Linked DNA regions of Arabidopsis thaliana. The protein of the gene in region 1 interacts with the protein of each later gene in a pairwise test. Each region holds a gene or a part of one and is shown in the gene's direction. Other genes may lie near its edges. The genes, in order: ZFP10, NAC020, MYBL2 and VOZ1.

The links.
Region 2: the proteins of ZFP10 (region 1) and NAC020 interact in a two-hybrid assay, tested with the Arabidopsis thaliana proteins (one large-scale study listed by BioGRID).
Region 3: the proteins of ZFP10 (region 1) and MYBL2 interact in a two-hybrid assay, tested with the Arabidopsis thaliana proteins (one large-scale study listed by BioGRID).
Region 4: the proteins of ZFP10 (region 1) and VOZ1 interact in a two-hybrid assay, tested with the Arabidopsis thaliana proteins (one large-scale study listed by BioGRID).

What each region holds. Positions count from the first base shown.
Region 1 is NC_003071.7:15,824,620-15,832,076, reverse strand, and holds ZFP10 (zinc-finger protein 10), read left to right. Parts: upstream 1-3,292; 5' UTR 3,293-3,456; coding exon 3,457-4,371; 3' UTR 4,372-4,661; downstream 4,662-7,457. Other genes in the region: AKR4C8 (NAD(P)-linked oxidoreductase superfamily protein), read right to left, coding at 1-82; AT2G37750 (uncharacterized protein), read right to left, coding at 812-1,060.
Region 2 is NC_003070.9:20,277,081-20,284,524, reverse strand, and holds NAC020 (NAC domain containing protein 20), read left to right. Parts: upstream 1-3,572; 5' UTR 3,573-3,635; coding exon 3,636-3,792; intron 3,793-3,944; coding exon 3,945-4,213; intron 4,214-4,330; coding exon 4,331-4,810; 3' UTR 4,811-5,018; downstream 5,019-7,444. Other genes in the region: ICDH (isocitrate dehydrogenase), read right to left, coding at 36-89, 169-246, 332-369, 527-636, 716-759, 957-1,005; AT1G54320 (LEM3 (ligand-effect modulator 3) family protein / CDC50 family protein), read left to right, coding at 6,732-6,819, 7,063-7,121, 7,223-7,297, 7,375-7,444.
Region 3 is NC_003070.9:26,792,924-26,800,484, reverse strand, and holds MYBL2 (MYB-like 2), read left to right. Parts: upstream 1-3,955; 5' UTR 3,956-4,258; coding exon 4,259-4,298; exon of another isoform or gene 4,299-4,468; coding exon 4,469-4,595; intron 4,596-4,681; coding exon 4,682-5,102; 3' UTR 5,103-5,433; downstream 5,434-7,561. Other genes in the region: LPR2 (Cupredoxin superfamily protein), read left to right, coding at 261-497, 1,625-2,749, 2,820-3,149, 3,231-3,284; AT1G71020 (ARM repeat superfamily protein), read left to right, coding at 7,380-7,561.
Region 4 is NC_003070.9:10,024,854-10,033,941, forward strand, and holds VOZ1 (vascular plant one zinc finger protein), read left to right. Parts: upstream 1-4,229; 5' UTR 4,230-4,414; exon of another isoform or gene 4,415-4,820; 5' UTR 4,821-4,859; coding exon 4,860-5,090; intron 5,091-5,210; coding exon 5,211-5,360; intron 5,361-5,457; coding exon 5,458-5,974; intron 5,975-6,063; coding exon 6,064-6,626; 3' UTR 6,627-7,137; downstream 7,138-9,088. Other genes in the region: AT1G28510 (Optic atrophy 3 protein (OPA3)), read left to right, coding at 295-381, 922-1,086; AT1G28530 (deneddylase), read right to left, coding at 7,274-7,392, 7,493-7,613, 7,696-7,926, 8,281-8,466, 8,821-8,931. UniProt on the Arabidopsis thaliana protein: Transcriptional activator acting positively in the phytochrome B signaling pathway. Functions redundantly with VOZ2 to promote flowering downstream of phytochrome B (phyB). Down-regulates 'FLOWERING LOCUS C' (FLC) and up-regulates 'FLOWERING LOCUS T' (FT).

The sequences.
Region 1 (7,457 bases):
CGACCATTGCGTAGGTTCCTAGACCGACGCAAGGTAACTTGGCACCAGTGTTCAGTTCAAAGAATCGAATCGGAGCTGCCATCTCTTAAAAGTTTTCTGGATAATTCTATTGAAAGAAGAAAACTGAGAGAAGGTGATGAATATGCAAAAAAAAAACTAGATGCAGAAGAAAAGAAACATACGTAACTCGGAGAAATAGCACTTTGTTTCTTCCGCATAAAATGCTAAAAATCGTATGGCCACTAAAGGCGTTTTCTTTATAGTCAATTGTGCGTATTCATTTTCTTTTGCAGTGTGCACATAACATAATTATGGCATTTATTTCTAAAAGTGATGTACTGTCAAAGTCTTAAACAAATAGAAATTGGTTTGTTCTTTTTTTTTTTTGTTAGTTGGTTTCATTATTAACATTAGTGAAAAATATCAATTTACTTAAAAGTTTGATATTATGTCATTTTTGCATATTAATACCAAAACTAGGAAATTGTAACGTAATTAACCTGTTTTACAACCTATATACCATGAAAACATTAACTAAACATTTCATACAATTGTTCTCGAATAAACTAAATATATTCATAGAAACTTTATACAATTAAAAGAAAACACACAATTGACAAATCAAAAGCCACGAGACCACCCTTTTGGGTTAAAGTCTACGCTTAGAGAAATCAATTTTCCAAACCGAATTATTACATCAGGTTTATTAAACCGGTCCAAGCCTAACTTACAAAAAAAAAACGCACAAAACAAAAGTCACGAACCCTTCCCTCACACGCAACTTCAGGTTCCTTCAAAAAGCGCGTGTGAATCACGTGACAACCTGACGAGAAACAGGTGACTGGACTCCCGCGTAAACAGCAAACGTAGTTGTGCTTGTCGACGACGACGCCCTATTGGAGGAATTAGATCCAGGACCCGATACATCTAAATCGGATCTTACAAACCGACCCGAATCACCGGGAAGACGAACGTAGTAAGAAGAAGAAAGTTGCTGCGACTCGTTACCGTAACGGATTTGCATGACGGCTTTGTATACTAACGGAATTAGACCCTCCATTTATCTTGTTTATTGTTATTTTTGCTGTAGCGACCAAAGAAGAGCAGGTTTGGTTTTTTATAGAGCGATCAAGATTGTCACGTGGCGTCTTATGATTTGTTGCTGCATCCATAAGTTTTCTCACGTCATTAGTTAGTGTATTTAAATATTAAATGAGTTTGAATGTTAAAAAGATAAGCAACCTTTGAATGTGAAATTTGGGTATAGGAAGAATCTGAAAGCTACATTCAAACTAATATAAAAACCACGGCCGGTCCAATGGATTTATCTTCAACATAAGTTGACATAACTATTAACACATATTTAATATTTGTTAAGTTATACAGAAATTTATCAAATTAAGTTTATCCACATCCAATTTTGATAATGGTATGCAGCTGGACTGCTTTGATAATGATAAAATTTTAATTTTTGTATATTTTTTCAAATGTTGTTAGTAAAGTATACTATAGTAGTTAATTAATTGCTTTTAAAAAACAAAATTGTGCTATAAAATCTTTGAATAATGGGAAGTGTATCATAATATATTTATAAAGGTGGGGGATGTGTTTGGATTATTATAGAAAATAACGTATGATGTCAAAAGATTTGTTATATATATGATGACGTTTGACTGTTTGAGGTGTAAAAAAATAAGAGAAGGTTACGAAATTGTGCCCACTAAACTATTTGGGTATAGTCAAAATATTAAAAAGATATATATTAGCTATTGAGGAATTAATTAATCCGTTGGTATTGAAGAAGCCAATTGAGTATGATTGACTATCGTCTTGATTTAATGGTTATCTTCATCTGCCTGTATGATGACTGTGATTATATCATATAGTTCTTTATCTGATTGAAACTTGACTTTAAGGTTAACAGTAACATTGAAAAACAAAAGACCTTTCTATATATTTTTGTAACACTAAAATATTTTCTCCTCAAATTTGATAGATAAAACTAGAACATCTGTTTGTCCAAAAAAAAAAAAAAAAAAAAACTAGAACATGTGTCATTATCACGATGTTACAAATGAAGATAAAATGTCTAAAACAATAAACATCATGTCAATAAATCCAAGTTTCTAGTATTCCTCACAATTTATTTGTAATGAGTTAATCACTTTATTGTAAAGGTATGAAGACAAAAAGTTCGACAAGAAAATATTGAACTTCTTGTTTGCTTGTTCATTGGGAATAAAATCATTTTGTTCTCAAGGCAATAATCTCCTTATAGAACTAGGTTTTTAGTGGACAACTAAACTCTATACTTTGTATTCATGTGGGCCTTGTATGGTTAAAGCCCAAAACCTCGCTTGGTCAGTGTTGTTCTCATCTTTACCGATACAACAGAAAAACAAAGTAGCATTTTTTTTTTACAAAAGTATAAATTCTTTTTTCTATTTTCTATTGAGTTCGATTATGAACTAGTTTGCAGTATTTTATCAGCATGAGTTTTACCATTTGTTGTAATTCATTAAATGTATTATATATTACACATTTACAACGAAAATAGACATAAATTAAGGTGTTGTTTTTTTGTTCTAAAAAGCTTTTTACTCTACAAAATAAATTTTGATGTAACATATATGGCGCTAAGCCTAGAGCTCACTGAATATGCCTTACCCAAAATTGTTTTTTTGGATCAGCCATTGTATATAGTCATCCATTTAAAAGTCATAAAACGTTTCAGTCCCTTGAATTCTCTTGTTTTGTTATAAAGTTAACAATATATCCATAATCACAAAAATCAGGGATGAAATAGCATCATAGAAAATATTTTGGTTAAATGAAACAATTTAGTTTAATAATAAACTATTATATTTCATTTAATAAAATATTTCTAATAAACTAAATTCTTGAAATGATATTTCATTTAGCAAATATATATATATATATATATATAATCCATTTTACCGTGAGGATATTTATAATTGGTTTCAAAAAAAAATTAAAACAGATATATGTACTACATTAATTACAATACTATAAATTACTGTATATTCAAGGAAAAATATTACGTTCATTTGCGGGTAGCCACTTGGAACAAGCAAACATAAAAGATTTAGATCAGTCCGCTAACTTTTACTAAAATCCAAAGTTCGTGTCATCTTTTTCTTCATAAAATCCCTACGGTCCAATTATTATTATTATTATTATTTCCCAATTAATTAATTAAATAAACTATAATTCCTTTGATCGTTAAAAAACCTCCACTCGTTTTGGTTTTAATTTCTTTTTATATAAAACATCTTGACCTCCATTATTTTCATTACACCATTCTTGATCTCTTCCGTAATCCACCACCTAATATTAATCATCTAGGGTTCCTCTAACCAACCAAGAAAAAAAGGAAGAAGAAAGGTTTATTCTAGGGTTTGTATCGTCAACTTCTGATCAATATTGTCATATACAATGGAGAAACCTGGTGGCTTCTGGATCCCCAAGAAAAGCAACAAAGAGTCATCTTGGGAAGAGCTGGCCTTTGCAGAAGACGATGCCGCCGGATCTTTGTGGCCGCCAAGATCTTATACGTGTAGCTTCTGCCGGAGAGAATTTAAATCGGCTCAAGCCCTCGGTGGCCATATGAACGTTCACCGAAGAGACAGAGCACGGCTTAAGCAAGCCGACGACCAATACTTATTCCCCAAATCTTCTTCGTCTCCAGAGTATCCATCTCATAAAGATAGCGATAATATTCATGAAACCTCTTGCTATACTTTGGTTTTTAACACCAAACCTAATTATTTTAAGACTCAACACTCTTGTGTTATTGATCTTTCTTCGTCTTCTTCTTTACCATATTTGACTCCTTCTAGGGTTTCTTCTGGTTTGCCTGGAAAGCAACATACTTCTTCTTCTCCTCCTTCTTTCGTTGTAGAACCTTCCAAGAACTCTAAATATATTCCCTCTTCTTCCCCATGGTCGTGCCCAAGTACTGTTGTGGAGCAAAAGAGTTGTGATCTATATGAAATTCCGGCTATGGAAGGAGAAAAGAAGAGAAAGACTGAGAGTGATGTGCCAAAAATCGGGCATAAAGCAAAACTTAGTCTTGGAAACACCACTGATCTCTCGGTGAGTATGAATCTGGTCATCCACCAAAGTTTTCCGATTACTGCTCACGGTAGCGATGAAGAGATTGGTAGGGTGGATATCCGTAAAAGAAGACGAAGACATGAGAGTCCGTCGCAGCAGTCGATTTTCATTTCAAGTTTATCTTGTAAGAGTGACATAATTACAAGAAACGAGGAAAGCAAACACAAAGGTGATCGCTTTGAGGATTTAGATCTTGAGCTTAGGCTAGGGACTGATCCACCAAAAGGAATTTGATTGATGGACCGATGAATCTCTACCAAAACAAAGGTAAAGGGAAGATATATATAAATAGTAACATTTCATATGGTGAGACAAAATAACACATTTCATATGGTATGTATGTGAATGTGTATGTGTGTACTTGGATTTATCGTTCCTTCGTTTTGTGTGTCTAAAATGTACTGATGATTGATTTTTGGGTTTTATTTCTATTGTTTTATTTTGGGGGATAAATTGTATGAAAAGTTCAGCTAAAAAAAAATGGAAAAATCTAAAGGAAGTATTGAGTAGTATATGTATGTACACTTGAGGCTTGAGAACAAAATTTCATATACAATTAGGTATATTGACACCCTAAGTCATTTTGTTATAATTAGTAGTACATGTTTAGACAATGTTTCCAGGAGTGAATCATACATATGCTACCACATACCATTCATTTCTCAGCTTCTAGTTTACGACGTTGAGATATCTATTCACAGAGAAAAAAATAAAGATTGGTTAATGGGGTCAGATGAGCCCATATTATGATTCATTTTCTGGGTAAAGTTTTCGATATATATGATTTAGCTTGGATATGCAAATGACTATATGAACTCTGTAGTATATTATTTAGTAATAGTAGTATTTGAAATGATAATGTACATGAAAATACGAAACCATGAAAACGAGCAAAATACTTTTGTATATATAAACAAGAGCAAAGTATTTTGTATAGCCCAGCTTCACTACCTAGGCGATCGTTTAAATGCGCTTTAAAATCTCAGCTTAATTCGAATCTTACCGGAAAAATGACTAACTAAGTTGTTATGGTTTCCATAATAAGAATACGGGGTCTTAATAACTCTTAAGTCCGAAACCTCTTGGTTAAAAATTAAAAAAAAAGTATTGACACGTCTATACTTCCTTGAGTGATTTGAAGCATGTTGTGTAACAACAATCCAAAATAAAATCACATGAAGATGGAATATTTTCTGTCACAATTTCCAAGAAAGAGATCGAATGATGAATAATTCTCCCATAGATCTTAGTTAGTAATTTATTAAAGGAATTTCGATAGCTATAATATAATTAATATTTACGTAAAGTAGAAAAACTCGGAAGCAACTAATTATTGTTCTTTTTCCTATCATAATTGCAGGAACTCTGGCAAATAAGTTCGTAACTAATTTTGTAAAACAATAAGGAAATAGTTTAATAATGACTAATTCCTCGTTGTTAAACGTCGTTATAAGCTCGTTTCCACATACATTCGCATCTCAGTACGTAACATGCCATTCTGTCAAAATCATAAAAATAAGCATAAGAAAGAGCACAAAAATCCAAATATGTCACAACACATATTCCCTTTCGCTTGTTTTGTCTCAATAGATAATTGAATAGAATAAAATTATATACTACTCCAACCATTTAGAGTCTCTACCCTAACTTTTTAGCCCCATGGGTTACCAACTCTTCTATCGCTTAGACTTAACTTAATCTATAAATTTTCATATCGTATCTGTAAACTAGGTTTGCACTGTTTCTATATATCAAAAACCCATAACGCATTGGAAGAATCTGTTTATACTTAATTATATATTACACATTTACATTACATAAACCATAGTATTTTCATTCTTAATTTCTATCAACCATCCGGTTTCTATTGATACAACCAAAAAAACTTTTTGAATACAATAAGTGAAAGTTTTTACATTAGTGGAAAATGTTTACCCAAGTTGCTTCCCAATCCCACTACGTAGTACATTAAATAAGGTGGTGAGCTTTATAGGGGAAACTATATATAGATGCATATACGGGCAAGTATATATGATATATCTACTTGTCTAAAGAATTTTGGAGCTAATCTATTAGTGAGATTTTACTAGAAGTCTAAAAATGAAAAACAATTAGTATAGTCTCTTAGTGATTTGATTTGATATGATTTTATAGTGTAAAATATATATGTTGTATGAGATTCTAAGAAATGATACAGTGAAATAACATAGAAACTTTCTTCTTTTTGTGCAAGTTGATTTTGAAAAGAATTTAAAAACAGATATTTTCTCTTGAATGTTTTTCGATTCGTTCATGAACCCATTGGCATAAACTTCAAAGCTATCAACTAATTCTTGGTTTACCTAGCTAGGGTTTGGTTATTAGTTAGATACGCTCTTTAGATTGCTATAAATATAATGAAGTGGTCTTCTCTGTATATAACAATACATAGGTGGAAGTGAAGTCTTCGAATAAAAGCAGAGCTTCCACATGGGGAATGAATCTCATTCTCTGTAACTCACATATTTCAATAGTTAAATTAATAATTCAAATATGACAATAATCAAATATATACAATACGTGAAGGGAATTTTTTTTTGGATTCTAAGAATTAAAGTGTCACGGAATTTTGGACGATTCTTTAGATAATAATATAATGCATCAATTACTGGACAAAAATTGGTTATCAATTATTTCCCAATAGCAAGACCAGTCGACATATGTCTGTTTGAAACTAATCAACAACTAGACTTCGAATACTAACAGAAATATAATACACACAAGTACACTGGTACATATGTAAGCGAAAGTTCTACAGAGGATCCTGACAACAAGAAAAGACCAAAAATTCTTGGTTGGTCCGCTTTACCAGTCTGGTTTCTTTTATTTTATTCTCAGTTTTAAAGATGTGAGTGAGGTTATGTAAGTGATGTTTTGTCAACGACTCAAAAGAGTAAAATATACCTTTGATTCAAGTTTGTTACTCTCTTAGTCTTATGGTTAAGATTTTTGGACATTTCCTTCACTCCACCATGCTTGGCCCAATAACATACGTATGTGCAACAGCTTAGGGTCCATAACTTTTTTAAAAAAATTTGGTGGTCAACAAAGGTCCATTACTCTAGTCATACAGTATCTGATAGTCATCCTATATGCTTCAAAGTTAAAACCATTCCTATGTTTTAGAAGATTTGTTTTCTCGAAACCATATATTTCATCAACGAAAATAAAGGAGTAGGAATATTCGTCGAATATAAACTTTCTCAATTTGTATCGCAATATATGTAAACTTTAGCTGCAAAAATATAAAAATAAAAATAAAAATAAATGTCAATCTTATT
Region 2 (7,444 bases), on another chromosome or scaffold:
GCTAACTCATACAAAAAGAGCAGCCATTGACAAACCTGGAACAAGACGAGGGATGTTTCTGCAAATGATAGGTTCCCTGAAAACTGTGCCTGCATAAAAATAACAACATGATCTTAGAGCTTAGGAATTGAAGAAGGAATTGCCCCCTTTTTTGGCGAAGAAACTGACCGTTTAAAATGTTCCTTATAGTTCCATTAGGACTCCTCCACATTTTCTTTAAGCCGAACTCCCTAACACGAGCTTCATCTGTCGTTGAAAGCAAAAACTGTTGTTAGTAAGTGAAAGAAGCACACTTTTAAATTAAAAATTGCAAAGGTTTAAGAATACATACCCGGAGTAATCGTCGCACACTTAATAGCCACATTATACCTTCACACAAGAAAAGAAAAGAAAAAAACTTTAAGGCAGACAATATATTCTGAAACCAATAGCCATGAACAAGCTTTATTCACAGAACAACCTCAACACTAGAAGCAGAAAGCATGGAGAATATGATATCTAAGTATAAAATGTAAAGACGACATACTTTAAAGTAGCTTCAGCAGTCTCTATAGTAACCTTATCATCAGTGAAATCGCGGTTAGGCAGTCCAAGATCAAAGTATTTGATATCCAGCTCCAGGAAAGGGAAAATAAGCTGCAAAATTCTCAAGATTTTAATCACAAAAAGAATTCAATCTGTGATTAAAGATTTAAAAAAAAGTTAAGATTTTTACCTTGTCTTTGATGAATTTCCAGATAACTCGAGTCATTTCGTCTCCTGCTTGTGCACAGAGAATAAATAAAGAGTCAAGTTTCTGAATTTATTTCATAAAACTATAACATATAGAAGAAAAGAAAAACCCGGAACAGAGCCGATCACATATACTCCAATATAAGCAAATCAATCAATCAGAGTAACGAGAAACCCATAATCGTAATCATAGATTTGAGCTAATTGACTGTTCGAACACTTACCATCCATTTCAACAACGGGATTGATCACCTTGATCTTCTCGAATTCCATCTTTGCCCGCAGAGGTTGGTAATGATCGACGAGTGAAATTGAATAGTGAAACGATCACCTCTGCTCCGCCATGAAAGACAGACGATAACAGCTCTATATCTCTATGTTGGGCCACACTCTTCCAAAAGCCCAAATAATCAAGCCCACTTATATATGGGCCTGATTCTGCAATTTGAAACCATGCTTCTCTTTTTGTATACTAGCATCATCTTTGAATTCCCCGCAGTGATAGTCAGCTTTAACAGTAATCATCAAAATCTTAAAATTGAAGAAGATCTGCTTTGGCTAATTGATTGAATAATTAATCAAAATTTGAGATAACAATCACGAGGTGGTCCTGTAGGATTAGTATATTAAAAAGAGTAATGAGTGTGACCACTTTAACAAGGGTAGAAATGAGATTTAATGCATGGAGAAAAGCAAAAGGCAAATAACGCAAATGTTTTTGGACAGTGACATTGTTCTTCTGCTATAATTGAGATGCGTGAAAAAACATGAAAGCAAGAATCTCTAGAGACACAGGGATTCCAACTTGTATTATTTAAAGGCTTTTCTTTTTTCCTTGGATCAGTTTGTTTAGCACAAACTAATATGAGATGGAAAAAAAATATGTTTTGGAAACCGACATGTAGGGAATCAGATGCTACTTTTTCTGAACAAGACTCTTCTTCTCTTTTAGAAGAATTGTGATTGATGTTGATGTTTAAGATGATGTATGATCATTTTATTAACAAACCAACAAAAAAGGGATGATGTATGTATTATCATGATACATGATACATGTCAACATGTATATCGTATGTATGTATTATCATGATTCCCCCATAGAGTCCCGCCTTTGCCAATTTCGTCATGGATATATATACACGTAAAGTTTGTTTACTATTCATTTAATAATGTCACTATTGTGTTACGTCTAATTAATTAATGTTTATTTGATACTCTAGATATCAATACTATAAGCTTGAGAAAGAGTATAGGTACTTGATACATGTGAAATGGAAATATAAAAGGGTTGATAAGATAAGATGCTTAGATCTTAATTAGCTTTATTCGCTTCCCCTTAGATCGTATCAAAGGTTGCATGTCTTTAGTTAGGCTTGCATGTTAGCTTCCTCGTTGTCTTTATTAATTAATTAATCCACATTCCTTTTGCATTTGTGATACAACATTTATATATATAGTCACATTTTTTTTTATATATAGTACTCACATTAATTACTTGTTCATATAGACTTAGACTCGATTTGTGACCAAGAAAAACAAAGTGGTGAAACAATTGGGGCATGTCTTGTTGTTGTCGTTTGATAAGTTAAACTGTTAAAGCATCTTTCGCCAAAATATTTTTCAGTTGCTATCTTTTGTTTTTTGTATCTGTCACTCTCTCTCTCTCTCCCTAAGTTATTGGTGACCACATCTTAAAGCTTCCCTAAAATGTTATTGTTATTTCTTTCTCACGGAAAAGGGAGAGTTACTTACTTGAAGTTTGAATATTATACTTTATAAGAATGGAGGAGTTTTATATATGTCGCAACTTGTGGACTCCCTCAGTATTTGATCATTTCCTTACATAAAACGTTTGATTACTTCATTCTGTTAAATTCCGTTTACAATGTTCTTCGTCTACATGTGAATTATATATATTAGCAAACGAAAAAAAACCATGTAAACGAGACATCTAATATATGACATGAGTTATATATATCATACATGTGAAGAATGAAGATGTCCTTATTTTTTTAATTTATCTTTTGGATCGAGGCCGAGAGTCGAGGCAAAAGAGATTTGACCGGAAGTTAGTAAAATTGAAGGGCCGAGAGAAAGAGAGTCAAAGATTGTGTGGGAGTAATGATGTAAAAGAGCCGAACAACGTCTTTAATCCATATGTAAAAGGGACTAAAGAAGCCTCCCAACACTAAAGCCAAAGTCGACTTGGATGCCTCCTGCTTTTTTATTCTCCCATTTTTTAATCATATATATGAATTCAATTTATAAGTATTCTTATTATAAGACCATAACAACATAAAACAATATAACAAAACTGTCAAACCGAAAAAAAAAGAAAAGAAAAAGCCGAGTGTTTAGGTGTCGCCAGGTAGATTTGGTTTGAGAAGAAGAGATGGGTCCCCTAAACTGTTGAATCATAAAAAGCCTTCATTTTTGGTTTAAAGCAAACGTTATAAAAATCCCTCTATAATGATTCATGACCCACGTTAAGGTCTAACCGGAATTATAAGCATATACATTCATATATGTGAGTATTTGTGAGATGGGGCCTTCTTGCTAAAGCTTTTTCCGTCTCTCCTCCTACTAGGGTTTTCACACTTGCAGAATCTTCAAAAGCCAGAGTTAGGTTTTTATTTAAAATATATATATTGGTTTTAGAAAATATGTGTGATGAGTATCATGACAAACACTGACCAAAAAGCAACCCAAAGTAAGACAAAATATTAATCTCAGAAGATGCCAATCCCATGGCATACTTTTACACATTCCCATATCATATCTTCTTCAGAGTCTCATCTTTTTAATTATATATAGTCACCTTCATATGTCGTACGAACATCCTAATCACTTTAATTAATCTCTCTCATCTCTTTCTCTCTCGTTTTCTAACGCATACACTTTGAATGGCGCCCATGAGTTTGCCTCCAGGATTCAGGTTTCATCCCACTGATGAAGAACTGGTGGCTTACTATCTTGATAGGAAGGTCAACGGCCAAGCCATTGAGCTCGAGATCATCCCAGAAGTTGATCTTTATAAATGCGAGCCATGGGACTTGCCTGGTACGATCCAACTCTTTATATCTCTCTCTATATATGGTTCAGCTTGTTTATGTCAATCTGACGTTATAGATTACATATATTGGTCATGATGCATTCATACATATGATATTGGAGGTTTTATGAGTTATTTATTTGGATAATACGCGGAACAGAAAAGTCATTTTTGCCGGGAAACGACATGGAATGGTACTTTTACAGCACAAGGGATAAGAAGTATCCAAATGGCTCTAGGACGAACCGTGCGACCCGAGCGGGTTACTGGAAGGCCACGGGGAAAGATCGTACAGTAGAATCAAAGAAGATGAAGATGGGAATGAAGAAGACACTGGTTTATTATAGAGGAAGGGCTCCTCATGGCCTTCGTACTAATTGGGTCATGCATGAATATCGTCTCACGCACGCTCCTTCCTCCTCCTTGAAGGTAAATTATTTCCCATGCACAAACTTCTATTAACATATATATCTATATTCATTTCTGATCTAATTTTTTTTTTTTTGATAAACCATATCGACTAATATTAATGTTGATCTAAAACAGGAGTCGTATGCATTGTGCCGAGTGTTTAAGAAGAACATACAAATTCCAAAGAGAAAAGGGGAAGAAGAAGAAGCAGAAGAAGAGAGCACTAGTGTAGGAAAAGAAGAGGAAGAAGAAAAGGAGAAGAAGTGGAGAAAATGTGATGGTAATTATATTGAAGACGAGAGCTTGAAAAGAGCATCCGCGGAGACATCTTCATCAGAGCTAACTCAAGGGGTCCTTTTAGACGAAGCAAACAGCTCATCCATATTTGCTCTTCATTTCTCATCTTCTCTTCTGGACGATCATGATCATCTTTTCTCAAACTATTCTCATCAGCTTCCATATCATCCTCCTCTTCAACTCCAAGATTTCCCTCAACTTTCTATGAACGAAGCAGAGATTATGTCAATCCAACAAGACTTTCAATGCAGAGACTCTATGAACGGGACACTTGACGAAATCTTCTCTTCTTCCGCCACTTTCCCCGCTTCCCTTTGATAAATCCATATCTCATACTATCATCTAGTACTTCTTTTCTCAACTTATTTAAATATACTCGGGTACTTCATATATAGTATTTTTTTTTTTACTTGTTTTTTGCTTATGAATTAGTTTGACTGGTGAAAAAGGGTGAGGAGGTTTGTGGAATTATTTTTTCTACCACAAAAAGAAATTGCATTATTTTATTTTAATTTTTATCATTAGGTGTGTATGGTACTTAATCACTAGAGTTGGTTGGTTTTGTCATATATAGGAGGGAAAACGGAAGTAAAAATTGTGTAATCGATCGACATTACTTATTGGTTTGCATACTTGTAGACTTAAAATCTGGCATGGGCGTCATGGCAACGCAAATTTGGAAAACTTTTCGGATTATATATGTCCGACTGCGGATCAATATCTTATTTAACTATATATATGTGTTATGAATATGAAACAAAAGTTTTAAAATCTGAATGAATAAAGAAAAAATTCTCAAGAAAAGAAGCTGAAAACAAAGAAGAGAGAAAAATCGAGACAAATTTCACTACAAACAAAATAAATTCTTTATTAAAAAAGATGAGAATTACAAGACAATGATTAAAGACATCTCGAGTTTATGATACTATATATAGTTTGTGATTGATTTGGAAGATACAAACAACATTATCATGAAGAAATCTCTAGTTTATGATACTTTTAATTTAATTTAACCAAGTGATAGTGGTCTAATAGTTTTCACTTGAAGACGAATCATCGTTTTTGTCTAGGTCATACATTGATCTCTCTCAAATGCAAGATTATTTAATCATTCTTATTATACTATCCCTAAAACAATCTTACTATAAATGAATCTTTAAAATATATATATATATATATATATATATATTGCAGTTTCAAATCCAAACATATAATAAGATAATAATTTGTTCGTTTGAAATTCAACATGATCGTATATGCATAAACTTGCAATAAAACATACTAAACTTTTTAAATTTTGTATTCATCAATTAACACTGATCATAATCCCATCCTCTAAAGTATAAACTCTAGTAAAACCTCTATAAATTAATACTCGATAAATTAATAATCTCTATAAATTAAGAAATGTTTTTGGTTCCGAGTTGGGATCAGTATAAAAAGTGACACAAATCGATAAATTAATAAGATAATAATTTTTTTGAAAATCCTATATAAATATATGGTCTCATCAATATCATAAATTAATAATTATTTAAATGTATCAATTATATATATACATTATATGTAAGAAATTTCTTTGAAATATAATTCTAATATTTGTTTGCTTAAATTTGTATTTATCCTTATTTGAAATATAGTTTTAGTATTTTACTATATCAAAAACTTTTGGTGTTATTTTCTAAATATGATATTATTTTTTACTTGTAATTGATTCTTGAAAGATATTTTCTATAATGAAAAAAAATCTTATACAAATTTTTGAAAAGTTACTAAATTAGGAAAAATTTTCTATTAATTAATAAATATTAAATTATCGATAAATTAAAACCCCTCTAAATTAATAAAATTTTGCAGTCCGAACATTATTAATTTATAGAGGTTTTACTGTATCCAATATTTGAAGGAAAAACGTTCCAAATCAAAAAATTTGTAGAACTTAAAAACATTTTATGATGCATGGGAGATTTTGGGCTTCAACTCAACAAAATAGAGTAAAGCCCATTATAAAGCCCACAAAGTGGGCCTTTCATTTTGACGTCAATATGGGAATAATACCGGTTCTTTCTGTTAACGACGACGAATCTTCGTCTTCCCCTTGTTCTTCTTCTTCCTCTTCATTTTACTTTCTCTTCCCGATTTCTCTCTGTCCGATTCACCTTTTCCTCCGATCTCGGTCTCCTTAGATTCCGGAATAATCCCCTCAAGGCTTGGCTTAGTAATCGTCGTTTTCTCCGCCATGAGTTCCAATACGGCGTCGTCCAGCGCGGGGGCAGCCGGATCGGGAGATTCTTCCGCCGCTAGGAAGAATTCAAAGCGACCCAAGTGTATTTATCATCTTCCCTTCGCTATCTTCTTCCGATTATTCATTATGGCTTATCGTTGACTCTTCTGTCTTATTCGAATTGGATCAAATTCTCTCTGGACTTGCTAGTTTTTCAATAACAATTTGTTAACAGCTTTGGATTAGCTCAAATTCTTTGCAAAATTGTCGTTACAAAGATGGTTAGGGAACCATGGTCAAAGCTATGGCTAAAAGGTGTGATTTTGTTGGCAAATATCTTTTGCAGATTCGAAGTTCACACAGCAGGAGCTTCCAGCTTGCAAGCCAATTCTAACCCCTGGTTGGGTTAGATTTCTTTCTAATCTCTATTGATGTTTGAGACATCTGATTTCTGTACAAGGCGCAACTAAAAGCTCCTTTTTTTACATGTTTGTGCTGTTGTGCAGGTCATTTCGACATTTTTGATAGTCAGTGTTATCTTTATTCCCCTTGGAGTTATCTCCCTTTTCGCTTCCCAGGATGTAAGTAGTTACTAAAGCATTGCTGCTACTCATCAGATTCTCTTCCATATCTCACGTGTTTCATCTCCCATGTTTAGGTTGTGGAGATCGTTGATCGGTATGATACTGAGTGCATTCCGGCACCTGCTAGGACTAACAAGGTTGCAT
Region 3 (7,561 bases), on another chromosome or scaffold:
TGTAGAAGCTTACTAATTAAAAAAAAAACCATTCCTTTTTGGAAGATAAATTCTAGGAAAGTAGCGACTCAATAGTCAAGAGAATGAAAGCAAAGAACAACAAAGTTATTTGACACCACACACTCGTATGCATAAATACGCAAAACCCCAAAGAACTTCTTCAACTTCTCTCCTCAACTTTTAAGTATTCCACACATACAAACACACACACACACTTGACTTTTCTCATATAATTTCGACAGCTCGTGAAGGACAAAGACATGGAGCCTTCTCGGAGGAGAATGACCAGAGACATGTTGCTTCTAATCGTAACGATGGCATGGCTCGTAACCGGAGACGAAGGAGGCATAAAGCAAGAGGAGCGACTGTTTAATCTTGGGAAGCTTGAGATGTTCGTTGACAAGCTTCCTCATATACCAACACTTCATGGCTACCACTTCGTCAATGGCTTCCTCAAACCCAAATCTCTTCACATAGGCATGTTCTTCAAGAAATGGGTATTTAATTCTTTCCTTCTTCTCATTTTCCTTATATTCTAATTTTTGTTTCCTTGTTTTCTAATTTCTTTCCTCTATTATATATTTTCCTCTTGTTTTCTCTGTTTTCTTGAAGTTATATTTGGTATGTTATTAAATTAAATTTCCAGTCTATAGTCGTTCGTGAAAACAGATCATCTTCCATTTCTGTCATGAGGTTATAAATGGCCAAAATATTTAGATAGAAAATTCAAATAACCATCATTTAGTGATTTACACCTGTATTACATGCAAAAAAATAGACTCATTAACTTTCTTGACCAACTTAAGCCGACTAACTAATGTTGAACATTATCTCCTTAATGAAAAACATTAACATTAAATTCGATATCGTATAAGATTAGTGAAGTTAATTTGCTTTTTACTTGGCTACGGCTCTTCTTAGGTTGTAAAGTGATTAGAATAGATTCGTGTTGTGTTCACACTATTGTCCCCTCACTTGTTTGTCGTCTTTGAGAAAAAGTATTAATAATTGTATACTTTTTATCACTCGTCATGTTGAATATTATTTGCCCTTCACCGAATGAATACTCAAATTCCTCTTTGTTCATAAACTAATCTAAACTCATTAATGACAAAAATTAACATTAAATATTCGAAATCGTATAGATCAGTGAAAACTTAAGTGCTTTTTAGTTGGCTACGGCTCTTTTTTGGTAAAGTGATTTGGAATTGATTCATCTTGTGTACTCCACTCTTATCCTCTCACTTATTTGTCCTCTTGAGAAAAATATCTATTGGTTTATAGTACTGACGAATCAGTGCTCTTTTATAACTAGTCAAATTTAATATTATTTTGCTCTCCTACCGAATGAATACACATTTTTTTTATAGTTTCTATAAGCTCTTTAAGTTTTGTTCTGATAAATTATACTAAGAACATCATCAAATCTAATGATTAATTGATAGAAAGTTATTACCCACTAACTATATAATTATGATTGCTTTTCTACCACTTTGGCCTAGCTAATTGTGCTCTGTTCCTTTAAACTATTTTATTACTCTGCTAATGATTCGAATGATTTAAGTTTTTGAATTTCTCTAACTCTGTCACACACTGATATGAGTTAAATCATTGTGAAGTACAGAAATTCCACAGAGACTTGCCTGCCACGCCAGTGTTCGCATATGGTACATCAAAGCGTTCAGCAACAGTTCCTGGACCAACAATAGAAGCTGTTTATGGCGTCGACACCTACGTGACGTGGCGAAATCACCTCCCTTTACATCATATCCTCCCTTGGGACCCAACAATCTCTCCGGCAATCCCTAAACACGGCGGCATTCCCACGGTGGTTCACTTGCACGGAGGTATCCACGAACCAACTAGCGATGGAAATGCAGATTCATGGTTCACCGCTGGTTTCAAAGAAACTGGTTCCAAATGGACCAAAAAGACTACACATTACGTCAACAAGCAACAACCTGGAAACATGTGGTACCATGACCACGCGGCAGGGTTGACCAGAGTCAACCTTCTTGCCGGTTTGTTAGGCTCTTACATTCTCCGTCATAGCTCAGTCGAATCGCCTCTTCGGTTACCTACCGGACGCGAATTCGATCGTCCTTTGGTCATCTTTGACCGATCTTTTCGTAAAGATGGTTCCATTTACATGAACGCTACAGGGAACAATCCAACGATTCATCCACAATGGCAGCCAGAGTATTTCGGCGACGCCATCATTGTGAACGGTAAAGCATGGCCGAGATTAACCGTCCGCCGCCGGAAATATAGATTTCGAATCACAAACGCTAGTAACGCAAGGTTCTTCCGGTTCTTCTTCTCCAACGGTCTCGACTTCATTGTCGTTGGTTCCGATTCCGCTTATCTAGCGAAACCAGTATCGACCAAATCTGTTCTCCTAGCTCCGTCGGAGATTGTCGACGTACTCGTTGACTTTTCAAAGTCAACATCGAAAACGGCAATTCTTGCCAACAATGCACCTTATCCTTACCCGTCGGGAGATCCCGTCACGGAAGAGAACAGCAAAGTCATGAAGTTTATAATCAACTACAAATCAGAAGTTGACACGTCGATTATTCCGAAGAAGCTAATTGAATACCCTCCTGCTCATGTATCAACCTCCACACGTACACGTTACATTGCTATGTTCGAGTATGTGTCAAGCATTGACGAGCCAACACATCTATACATCAACGGTCTGCCTTACAACGCTCCCGTAACCGAAACTCCAAAAATCGGCACAAGCGAGGTATTTATAACCAAAATTTCACTATTCACTAACCGTATAGTTCAAATCTTTAATGCTTACAATAATGAAGGTGTGGGAAGTGATAAACTTAACCGAGGATAACCATCCGTTGCACATTCACTTGGGATTGTTTAAAGTATTGGAGCAAACGGCATTGGTGAAGAGTGAGGAGTTCATAGAGTGCATGACTAAAAGAAACGATGCCGTCAAGTGTGAGATTAGCAAATACGCACGAGGGAACAAGACCGCGGTTACGGTACACGAGCGGGGATGGAAAAACGTATTCAAGATGATGCCGGGACATGTAACGAAGATACTCGTTAGATTTTCTTACATTCACTCAAACGAATCTTACTCCTTTGACGCAACTCAAGAGCCAGGCTATGTTTACCACTGTCACGTAAGTTGGTAAAATACTAAAAAGTTGATGACGAATTTAGCTTTTTCTTTTAGAACTAACTGTATGATATTGGCATTGCAGATATTGGACCATGAAGACAATATGATGATGAGGCCCTTTGCAATGGTGCTATAATTCTAAAACGAAAACAATTTACAATTACGAGTGCAGAATACAAACGAGTTGATATAGATTGAGATTTCAGATTACATAAATATCTTATACAGAAAGTGTTAAAAGATAATTCGATTGGATTGATGTTATATCTCTATCATTGTTTTTCACTTGGCCTCGGAGATTAGAAGCAGCTTGTTAATGGGCTTTTAACAGTTACGGGCTTTAACGGGCCCAATAACAAAACTCTTTTGCTTCTTATATGATTTTGGAGTAGATGGTAAGTGAGATAGGGAAGTGGTGAGTGAAATTAGAAAATTCCTCGTATACAAAGTCCTAACCACCAGTCAAATTCAATTGAATGCTCCCATGTTTCTCCCTTATCTGTTCCTGAACCTACACTCTTTAATTTCATGGTTTCCTATTTTCTCTTAATTTGTTTATTTTCATGTCATATTCGGAAGCTTCAGATATTTTATCAAATAATGCATCCAAATAATTTTGAGCCACTAGTCAAATATCTTCTTCGTCTTCTTCTTGCTTAATATATATTTTAGTGAATCTATTATTGATACCACACACACATCTTTGATATTTCACAAAAGGTATCTATCGGAGCCGTACATATATTTTACGAAAATGTGGATAAGAGCGAGATTTGGATTGGTATTGGTAAGGCAAATTAAATGCGACACACTTCCACATTCATGATTCCACAAATTCTAATGGATTTGAACAAATATGGGACCAATTTTTATTTGTTTCAACTCCTAAATGTGGGACCAATTAACAAGGTTGATGTATTCTTCTTGTTCTTCCTCGTTCATTAATAGTTTGATTGAGCATGCACGCTTCTCTCAACCCACCAGTCCAAGTCAAACCTCCTCAAGCCATCCCCTAATCCTATATATCAGTTTCTTCTCGCAAACCACCTCACAATCTATCAACAGTTTTAAAAAAAGACATAACTCAACCAATCTCACTTTGAAAAAGACATGAACAAAACCCGCCTTCGTGCTCTCTCCCCACCTTCCGGTAACTATTTTCTCTTTAAACAGTATTAATCATGTGTTTTGCTATTCACATCACCAAATTATTCATAGTTTAAAGAGGTCGATGTAGAATTCATAGATATACATGTGTACATACGTGACTTTGTGACGATATATCGTTTTAATTTGTTAAATTTTGATCCCTTCTCTTAGGTATGCAACACCGTAAGAGATGTCGATTGAGAGGTCGAAACTACGTAAGGCCAGAAGTTAAACAACGCAACTTCTCAAAAGATGAAGACGATCTCATCCTCAAGCTTCATGCACTTCTTGGCAATAGGTTCGTATTCATTCTTCTTATTCTTTAATTCAATAGTAATGTGAACGGTACGTGCTAATAATCATTTTGATGTTATGTTTTTTCAGATGGTCATTGATAGCGGGAAGATTGCCAGGACGAACCGACAACGAAGTTAGGATCCATTGGGAAACTTACCTAAAAAGGAAGCTCGTAAAAATGGGAATCGACCCAACCAATCATCGTCTCCACCATCACACCAACTACATTTCTAGACGTCACCTCCATTCTTCACATAAGGAACATGAAACCAAGATTATTAGTGATCAATCTTCTTCGGTATCCGAATCATGTGGTGTAACAATTTTGCCCATTCCAAGTACCAATTGCTCGGAGGATAGTACTAGTACCGGACGAAGTCATTTGCCTGACCTAAACATTGGTCTCATCCCGGCCGTGACTTCTTTGCCAGCTCTTTGCCTTCAGGACTCTAGCGAATCCTCTACCAATGGTTCAACAGGTCAAGAAACGCTTCTTCTATTCCGATGAGAAATGGTGTATTTGTTTGTACACATTTGTTATATTACAAATGCACATATTATAATATTCACTAGAGAGATGGTATAACGATGTTTGAAATATGTTAATCCTGAATTGGACCGGCTGGTCATTGAACAACTATTCTCTTAAATGTCCGGTTCTGTTTTCAGTGATTAGTATTATAGTAGATCGTTAATAACTAACCGACGATAACCGCTGCTTATTTGATCAATCAAGCTGTAAGAAATTATAGCTAATACAGCAATGTTAACGGTGCACATTGACGGGAAGTATTAATTAACTCTCTTAAAATGGACAAGTATGTTCATTTTCCTCCAAACTACACTTTACTCTTTATTCAAAAGCAATTTCAAACTCTCGTTTCGCACAAAGGAATCTATAAATACGAAAATTACTTACTAAAGATATAAAGGAAGCAAATTAGTTAACTTATAAAATAATGAAATGTATCGATTTAAGGATGTCTTAAGCATGGAGACTATACGGTCAAATATGCACCAACTAGTACAAACACGTTCACATATATTTTGAACAAAACTCACAATGAATTTGTTTAAAGTATCTTCATACATGCTTAAAATAAAAATTAGAAAGTAAATACATTTGTACAACCGCTATTCAAACATCATCAAATATTAAACAAAATTGCATGACCAAAGAATATGAATGTTTGACAAGTATAGAAGAGGAGATTGTTTGCTAAGAAAATGGACCAATATTTATCATCGAAACTACAATCATCATTAAGGTTGTTTCTACGATTGCGGGATCTACAACCATCAAAGAAGTTGTTTCCACAACTGTATAAACTCTGATCTCACCTTCACTTTCATATTGTTCCGCAAGTACAACTACACCATAAATTTCAGAAATAACGGTGAGTATTGTGGTTAATGGAGAGTTGTGTGTGGATGTGCAAGCAAAAATCACATGCCTCATCAAACACTTCAAGGTTATTAATCTTCATCTGATTCAGACGAATACCCTCTTCTTTATGTAGATCTTTTTATTTTTGCATATGTCCAAAAATAATTATGAAACCAGCCAGTCAAACTTGCCAAAAATGTCTAAAAGATAATGTTGTCTATTTTTCAAGTTGCTATCGGTTGTTATGTAGGACGCAGAAGTCACGGGCATGGACGTCGGCCGATATGATGTGGATGTCGTGGTTGAACCTTTCTTTTGTTAAACCGAGATAACTTTTCAATACAAGACTGTCACAAACTATATGTAAGTCATGTTTATAAATTTTAATCAAAAGTATACTAAACTGTGGTAAAACAGTTTTAAGAAAATTATAGGTCCCAATTTGTATACATGCTTCAAATTATCTAAAATGTTGTTAAAATTCGATCTACCGGGTCATGTTCGACCGTTCCATTTGCAGGCTATATAATACTCACCAAAATTATGTTAATTGACATAATTTTTCTAGAACATTTTTGCTGTAAGAGATATTAAATTTTCTTACACATACAAAGTTATTTTTAAGGGAAAATAAAACATGTAAAGCTATATTTAGTTAATTACAAAGAAGATTTTTTCCATCTTTTAATAAACACTAGGGTAAGACAGATCATATACTAGAAACACATGTCAATACAATGCATCTAAAGGCCTGGAAATTTTATCTTAGTTTCTTTTCAAATAGAAAAAATAACTAATTTGACTATTTATTACCATTTAAGATTACATAAATAATACATACAGATAAATTTCATAACTCCAACATAAATTTCAACACAACTATAAAATACAATCATATAAGATCTACTTTACAACTAAGCACACAACAAACCATTTTCTTCAATAAATAGAAAAGTGGATTTTTTTATTGAATTTAAAAGTATAGTTCATTTCTATTATACAGTTTTGATCTAATATAAATGATAATAATTGATTATTTTTTTGACAACTGTATCATTTTCTCTTCAACCTCTACTTGCACCGTGAATCTCGCTCTCAATTATCTAGTTTGTTCTATTGTATTATTTAAATGTATCACATAAACTTTTATCTAAAAATATAAAGCCAGTAAACTAAAAAGAAAAGAAAAAACCATTTTTAGAGTTAGATAAAAAGTTTAAAACAAAAAACACTAAAACCAAAACGGTGTCGTAACAGCGACTTATCCTTTTTCGCCACATGGCTTCGTTGGATACATAAAAGCGATAGAGACGCATCTCTGAGTCAGAAGCGAGCCAGCGAGAGAGAGAGAGCGAGTCACAAAAATTCGAATTTTAAGCCGCCGTGTGAGACGGCGTAATGGCTGGTGGAGCTATCACTCCCGATTCTCTCATCGGTCTTATTGCTGAAATCAATGAGATTCCGGGGAATTTTGGTTTGTTTAAGAAGGATTGTTCCGATCTCGCGCGACGAGTCGGTCTCCTGACGCATTTGATTGAGGAAATCAGGGATTCTTCTCCGCCGTCGGAATCTGATGCTTC
Region 4 (9,088 bases), on another chromosome or scaffold:
TCATATGAGTTAGACCTAGGATTGGAGATATAACTGTTGAGTTTTTGTATACAAAATACTAAAATTTAAGGGAAATGTACCATATGATTGATTATTTCTTGCTCTTGTTTGTCTGATAGCACAACCTATGCTAATAAATTAAGATTTCTAGTTTCTTCCGTATTTCCCATATCAATTTAGTGGATATCTTGCATGGTGTCAAAGTCAGATAAATTAAAAAAAATAGCTGGTCTGAGTGTCATTCTTGTATACAATTCTAAATTGTTCTGTAGAACTAATAGATTATATGTGCAGGTCGGTGGAGCTGTTGTTGTTTTTGAGGTGCAGAGAAGTTCGCGGTCAGAAGCAAGAAAAGAGGAAGCACGTAAGCAAGAACTAGAGGTACACAGAATACTCTTGGAAGATAATTTGTTGCCTCATTAAGTGTAGACTCCCATGTGCTGTTCAGGATTTAGCATTGTTACATACTGACACTGTTAGTTAATAGAGAGTGGGTTGCATATAAATTCATGAAATTAGCAGATATCATGCTCAGGAAGAACTTAATATAAACTCGCTTAGATAAATGGTTTTAAGGAAATGGTGGTAGTGTTTTCAGATTCCCAACTCAAGACTTCCTAAAAGTTGCAGCCTGTAGAATTGGTTCTCATTCCTTGAAGTCGTGAGATATCCGTCTTATTTAAAGGAGCTTTATAAATATGGTTACTTCTTGCGCCATAGATGGAAAACAATTATCAACATATTCAATGTATGCTCACATTAACTTGAAATCTGCAGTAACAACTAAATAAGAAAGCATTTCATTAGTTAAGAACCGAGCAAACTTGTGTGCTTGTTCTAACGAGATAGACTACTCAGAAATATCATGTTGAGGTTTGATTATTGATTAGGTTGAGATTTGTGAATCTCATGGTTTTACAGGAGTTGAGAATAAAAGATGAAGAACTAGAAAAGCAAGTGGCAGATCTCAAGAGCAAGCTAGAGGAGCTTGAACAACTTGCTAAGGCACGAGGACTGAGCGGTATTTTCCAGTTAAAACCACAGCCTGGTACTACCGCTAGTGGGAAACCAGACAAATCCAGTTGAATCATCATCATCATCATCTTATTCAATCTAGAAGATTCAAACCAAAGTTAACAATACGGTAATGATTCTTTTTCACAAGAGTTGAGGAGTTTCTGATTCTCTCCTCTATATACATGTACCATCCATCATCAAAAACAATCTGCTTTTAAATTATCAAATTAGGTGACAAATAAAAAAAGTTTTGATGTTGAGGTTTTGTCTTTTCAACATTTGTTGCTTAGATTTGGTCTTTTGAGACCAATGGCTCGATTTTAGGTAATGTTGGATAATGACGAATTCATTATGAAAGAGACATTGAGATGTACCAAATTACTTCTTTCTCCAGATTACAAAATGTACATCATATTTATCCATGATCTAATAAGGTCAAAACTATAGCGACAACTAGTTTGGTTTTGTGGTAAAAGGCGATCAACTCTTACAAAAGAATAATGTCTTTATCACAAAACGATTTCATTTTAAATTGGAGACGAAAGGAACCTATGGGTATGTCGTTAGGTTTATTCCACCAAGAGTCTGAATACTAGAATGAGAGAAAAAAGTTAGTAAAGAAAAAAGTGAGAATAGCTGTTGGAGGTAGAGAAAGGGAATATATTATAGGGGGAACAATCATTTGGGCAAATGCTTAGAAATTCCATAAAAGCATATCATGTTTTCTCATAACGACGATCAAAAAGGAAAAAGACAACACATCGATTTATAAAAACGCATGCTACTTATGATGAGCTAGTAGAAGTTTATGTTGTGTGATATAATCTTAGGAGATTGTGGTAATCAAAATGGGCTAACTCCTTCAGCTAAAGTAATTTATGAATTAGCTTAGTACACTTCGTTTATAATAACTCGAATTTAAATCATACAAAGAGTTAAATGATTTTATCTTACTATTTAATATTAAAAAAGTGATACATTTACCAGACGTTATAGTTAAAACAAAATCTAAATAAAATAGTTTTGGAATTCTAAATTTACACCAATGCACAACAATAAATTATATTGATCTAAAATCATGGAATGATCATAGTCTAAATTTATCCCATTTGAGAGATTTAAGAATAAAAAATTTACACACATTAGTAATAAGTAGTTAAGTATATTTATTCGGGACAAATTTTCGAATTTACCAGACGGTTAAATCGTTATGGTGATGTTCTTCGAAGCATACAATTTTCGTAGATAATTTAACCTCGAGAGTGTAACAATTTGATAAACATCATTTTGTTCGTTTTTTCCAACATGGGATACATGCTTTCTTCTACCATTAAAGTATGGGCTCGACGTTAAGCATCATCTAGTTGAGCCACTCTTATCCCTAGCTTATTTTGAATTTGAGTTGGATGTTTTGTCACATATGATATAGAAATCTATTATGGTGACATTGAATTCACCTTGGAGACCTTAAAGAAAAGAAAAAGAAGGAAAAAAACTTCTCCACTGTCACTAATTTGGTCCGGATCAAAGATAAAGTGTAGTGGTGGACCGATCTATATTCCAACCAGGGATATATAAGATGTAAGGTGCATACTCAAAGAAAATATTGTCAATAATTGGCTGTTTAACTGTGATTAATATATAATCGTACTCAGTCAAGAATTGGTTGTTTAAAATTAGTGGAGATATTATTTCTTATAACCTAGTTAAAAGTTGAATTTGAATATTTTTTTAGAGTTCATACGACGAACATTATGTATTTGAAATGAGAATAATAAGCAATAATAGATAAAGAACGATAGAATATGACCATTGAAGAAATTGAAAGTAGATGGTATGATGAAAATTGATGAGCATCACAAGATAGGAATATGGAAAACATAGTGGAGAAAAGCTAAGTTATATTCCTTCCTTGCCAATATCTCCTTCTTTTACACCTTCTTGTATCTTAAAAGAAAATAATAATAACTTAGTATTCACGACACTTGTCCAAATTCTTTACCCAAGATTCCTTTGTTATGCTTGTTTGTTTTTTCCTCCAAAAGTAATGCAAATTTACATTAGGTACAAACAATCTCATTGTTAAAACTCATTGAAAGGATATAAGAAAACAAATGGGTCCAAATTATTTTAAGAAATGACCAATTGTCAAGCGCAACCAAAATTACGGTTATCAATCTAATTGACTTATCTTGAAAATATAATACGTTACATTTCCAATATTCCTTTTTTATTATCAAATTACGTTACATGTAGTCGTAGACTTGAGCACTAATTAGCCGTTGAATCAAAATCTTTAACGTGGTTCTACTACGATGCTATCATAAAGTCTATGTCAATTTATCAACAAAATATACATTCTCGAAAGAAATGTTATCATGAATCGTTTTTTAGTTTTTTTTTCCTACGACTACAAGTACAGCTACGCAAAGTTGCAAACCACTCCCCTCCATACACATTAACTTGGACTAAACCCGATGATCATACAATGTCACAAATTTTAGCGTTACTACATTAGTCTTAACATTTTCTAATATTTGCAAATGTTCCATCCCTAAAATGGATGGTAGTTTTAATTTCAAAGCCTTTTTTTACACTTTTTTGTTTGGTATTTGTTTTAATTTTCTCGTATGTATAAAATTTGCTTAGCTTTAGCCTATCTTGAATTCTATCATCGCATATTCGCATGGTTATATTATATCTTACAAATCGTGTGACCCAAACTCTGATTTTGGAAAAATTCTTGGCGACTTCCCTAATGTATTACATAGTCTAAAGAAAAACTTAAATTTCTAACTCAAATAGTATTTAAATTTCCTCAAATAAGGAGCAAGTAGTGTATGGAGCCAATAGCATTGAAGAAAATGCCTAATTTTCTAAAGCATATGTGCAACAAAAAAAAAAAAAAAACATAATTGAACTCTGGTTAGTTTAGAAAACAAAACAAAAAAAAAAGATTATTTACACAACAAATAGTAAATTTTAAATGCTCATTTAATATTTCTTAATATAAATAAATGCTATAAAGAGAAAAAATGAACAATAAAAAGAAAAGAATCCATAATAAACAGTCCAAATGGCATTTTTTTCCAAAATAATCATTAAATTCCTTAAACATTTCCCCACAATTTGATAATTTTTAAATTTTTATATTTTCTCATAAATTAGTACATTGAATTTAGCTCATAAAAAAGGAAAAAGAAAAGTGGAGGGTGAAGAGAAGAAGAGAATCCAGCAACGTTTCTTTATTTCCTTTGTGTTTTTTTTTCTTCATAATCTCTCTCTTTTTATTTATTCATAATTTTTACTCTCTCCATTTCTTCATTACTCTTCTTTTTATTTTCCGGAGATTTTTCTCTTTGCCTTTGTTATTTGCTGCTTTTGCTGCAGCTACAGTGTAAGTTTGATTTTCTGGGTTCCTTCAAACTCCAAAATCTCGCGTCGCTTTTTGCTTCAGAATCGATTTGTTCTTGTTACTTCGATCTGTTGTTCTTTTTAACTCTGTGCATGATTCAATTTCGTGTTCGTAACCTGTTTTTTGCTGCTTGTTTAGTTCGACAATTAGGTAAAAAAATGACGATCCCTAAAACTTATGATCCTTTTAATCTTCGTTTAGCTACTTCGTTCGAGATCATCTAGGGCTTTTGTTGCTTCATCGATTTTGGGTTTTGATTTACTGTAAATGTTTTGGTTTTGTTTATGTAATCTAAGCATGTACCAATGATTCATGAGTGATCATGTTTGTTATAGGAGCAGAACTGATGTGAAGTGTGTATTTTGAATGTGTTTTTGGTTTTGTACAGAGAATCTTGTGTTTTTGTGGTGGGGAGGTGAGATTTCTTATGACGGGGAAGCGATCAAAGACTAATTGCAGATCTGCTTCTCACAAGCTCTTCAAGGATAAGGCTAAGAACCGTGTTGATGATTTGCAAGGCATGCTTTTGGATCTTCAGTTTGCGAGGAAAGAGAGTAGGCCTACTGATGTTACTCTTCTTGAGGAGCAAGTGAATCAGATGCTTCGTGAGTGGAAATCTGAGCTCAATGAGCCTTCTCCAGCTTCATCCTTGCAACAAGTATGCTTTCGTTTGTTTCAAATTTGCAATCTTGTTGTTTCTTCTGACTTGCATGGGTGATTTAGTTTTCTTTGTTGTTTCAGTCATTGTTAGCTGTGTCATTTTGTTTTGCTTAAGCAGGGTGGTACTCTGGGGTCTTTCTCATCAGATATTTGTCGGCTGCTGCAGCTCTGTGATGAGGAAGATGATGCTACCAGCAAATTAGCTGCCCCCAAGCCCGAGCCTGCTGATCAGAATCTCGAAGCTGGCAAAGCTGCTGTCTTCCAAAGGGTGAGTTGCTCTTTAGAACCAGTTTTTAATGGTGCTTTAGTTGTGTTTGGAGTCCATTATTTTGTTTAAATACTGAGATCGTGGTGAAAGTTTTCAGGGATACAATTTGGTTCAGGGGAAGTCAGAACATGGATTACCATTGGTTGATAATTGCAAAGATTTGTCCTTAGCAGCTGGTAACAATTTCGATGGAACGGCTCCTTTGGAGTATCATCAGCAGTATGATCTGCAACAAGAGTTTGAACCAAACTTCAATGGTGGTTTCAACAATTGTCCCAGTTATGGTGTAGTAGAGGGTCCTATACATATCTCTAATTTTATCCCGACTATTTGTCCTCCACCCTCTGCATTCTTGGGTCCAAAATGTGCTCTTTGGGATTGCCCTAGGCCAGCTCAGGGATTTGATTGGTTCCAGGATTACTGCAGCAGCTTCCACGCTGCACTGGCTTTCAATGAAGGGCCACCAGGTATGAATCCGGTGGTGCGTCCTGGAGGTATCGGCCTAAAAGACGGTCTGCTTTTTGCTGCTCTTAGTGCAAAGGCTGGAGGGAAAGATGTTGGTATTCCCGAATGTGAAGGAGCTGCAACTGCTAAATCTCCATGGAATGCTCCAGGTAGGCTTTACTCTCTTGGAATTCATTCACAAGTATGTTAATTGATCACCATTCTTGAGCTGATCATACTCAAATCTTGATGACTGTAGAGCTCTTTGATCTCACGGTTCTGGAGAGTGAGACACTAAGGGAGTGGCTATTCTTTGACAAGCCAAGGAGGGCCTTTGAGAGCGGGAACAGAAAGCAAAGATCTTTACCAGACTACAATGGTCGTGGTTGGCACGAGTCACGTAAACAGATCATGGTCGAGTTTGGAGGGCTGAAGAGATCTTACTACATGGATCCACAGCCTCTGCACCATTTCGAATGGCATCTTTACGAATATGAGATCAACAAGTGTGATGCTTGTGCCTTGTACAGGCTCGAGCTCAAGCTTGTTGACGGGAAGAAGACTTCAAAAGGCAAAGTCTCAAACGACTCAGTGGCTGATCTGCAGAAGCAGATGGGAAGACTCACAGCTGAGTTCCCTCCAGAAAACAATACCACTAACACCACCAACAACAACAAACGCTGCATCAAAGGAAGACCAAAAGTGAGCACAAAAGTCGCCACCGGGAATGTTCAGAACACAGTAGAGCAGGCAAATGACTATGGAGTAGGTGAAGAGTTTAACTATCTGGTCGGAAATCTAAGCGACTATTATATCCCCTGAGACGAATGTGGAAAAACTCAGGTTTAAAAAGCTGTTTGCTTACCATTTAATTAGGCAGCAGCAGAAGAAGCTTCTACATATCGTAGGGCAAAGTAATGGATTTTCATGACTCGTATCTTTTTTTTCTCTTATATAATAGTTCTCTGTCTATCTATGGAGATTATGTATATATAACAAGAAGTGGATGCTGAAGACTGTCCTGGAGTTAGGAATAGTAAATGTGACGAAGGAGACTGCTTTTTAAGATTCAGTCTATGGAGGTGAAGACATATTTACTGACATTCCGGTTTATATATTTTGATGCATTTTCGACTCTCTTCTGCGATATAATGCAGATGACAAATTATGTAACCGATGGGGAAATACGGTTTTGAGTATCAGTGTTGTTCTTATAGAATCAGGACCTTGTTCAATGAGATCATTGCTCTTACTTAGTCTATGTTTCAGATTTGGGGTTTTGTTAATAAAAATTCTCTGCAGAGCTTCAAAATCTTAAGCATCGTTTCAAGAATCATGTAATCACGTTCTCACTCTTCTTAAGATATTTGCATATCATAGACGCCAAGTGTTACAAGCAATCAATCAAATCATATTCTACATATATTGTACTAAAATTCATCTAAAGAGAGACAGGAACTTCGCTATGCTTATTGTGGCAATAATGGTCTGACCAATGCAAAAGGACGATCTGAATTCACAGACATTAATAATTCCAACACAACTACTTTTTTGGGAGGGTGACTCTTAAGACCAGGCTCAATCAGCCCTGCAAAGCAAAGAATGACACAACACATAATCAGATAAACTTAAAAGGATACGAATAGCATTGAATTTAAGGAATTGAAAGAAGAACCATGGTGTGTTACCAGGCTTGAGTTTTTTTCCTCCATAAAGTTCTCTAGCTAAAGGATTAGCAGCCCAGTGATTCACAGCCACCCGGCTTGTCGGTTGGAACCCTATGATTTTACCTTCGGATGATAAAACTACCTGCTTCCATTAAAGAACCAGACGAAGATGAAGTAGTAGTCCACTTAAAAGAATTCAATTCATCATAATTCACTGGAATTACCTGGTAAGTAGCGATATCTTGCGCAGATGCCTTTGCGTCTTCATTGAGTATTTCCAGAAGAGACGAGCTTGTAACAATGTGATCTTCAACAGACTTAGCTCTGCTGGTTTCTTTCAAGTAGTCAGGTACTTCCCCTATCCAGGCACCTATGCTGCTTTCTAGTGTGATCTCCCCTACCCAGCTGTAGGCATCCTTGAGCTTGTTGACGAGTAATCCGCAGAATGAATCCAACTGCTCATTTGAGGTTTCAGAATTTAGTTTCCGAGAAAAACAGGAAAAAGCACCACAAAAAATAATAAAAGGTTGATCTCATTCTCTCATTCTCAGTATAGAGAGTCCATACTCATGCAAAAATTATTAACCAAATAACATTAGACATGAAATATATATAGGTCTTGGATTGTCTTTACTTTTTGGATGGGTTAACTTATTCATGGCAAGGGATTTACAAAAAAAGGCTGCACCAGTACTTAATCTTATGTGATCATCAAATGAACTAGAGCTGTCCTGAAAAGCTATTAATGTCTACGTGCAATTGTTGTCGTACACATCTATATGAATACAACGTGTTTTGGTAATCCATACCTCAGAGGAATCTGAAGATTGATGAGATAACAATTCACTCTCTGACCATAAAATCTCTTGGCGTTTTCCGGGATACTTCCTCTCGCTTTTCTGAGGAAGACAGAATTGGGCTGCAGCACTCACAGCAAGAAGAAAAATTCCACTGGCCATGGTGACAGATATGAATTTCAACAAAGACAATCCTTTCTGTCAATAGAGAATGAGCAAACCAAAGAAGTGAACATAAGTTTGACAGGTAAAAAGCTACCAAAGAAGCCAATCTTATTAACTCATAACATGTCTCCAAAATAATGGTAAAAACTCTAATAGTAAACATTAATATATTCTGCAGACTACAAATATATTTAACATATTTCATCAGGCAGCTGTAATGAAGCACACAATTAGACAGAGCAAGTGATTATCATGGAGAATACGGATTATATACAGACAGTAATATAGCAAGGACTGGCAATTGGTTCTGATTACATACACAATAACAGACACCAAAGTATAATATCAGAAAGATTGGCTAAATTTTAGCAGTCCAGTAGTCATTACCTTTTCATTGGGTAAGTTTGCATAATTTCCAGGAACATCACATGGTAGCTGTTTCCTGGGAAGTGAATATGTGTCTTCAAAGTAAATATCCAATGCTTCAGCTAATCCAACCTAAGAGTTTTATACAAGTCTCAGGAATGTAGAGGCCTCAAGAAATAACATGCACAAAAACAGACACCTTAGTCACCACAGAGCACACAAAATGCAGCAGTACAGGAAATTTTATTCCCATGATTGATAATATTCTTTCATCTTGCTAGGTTCATTC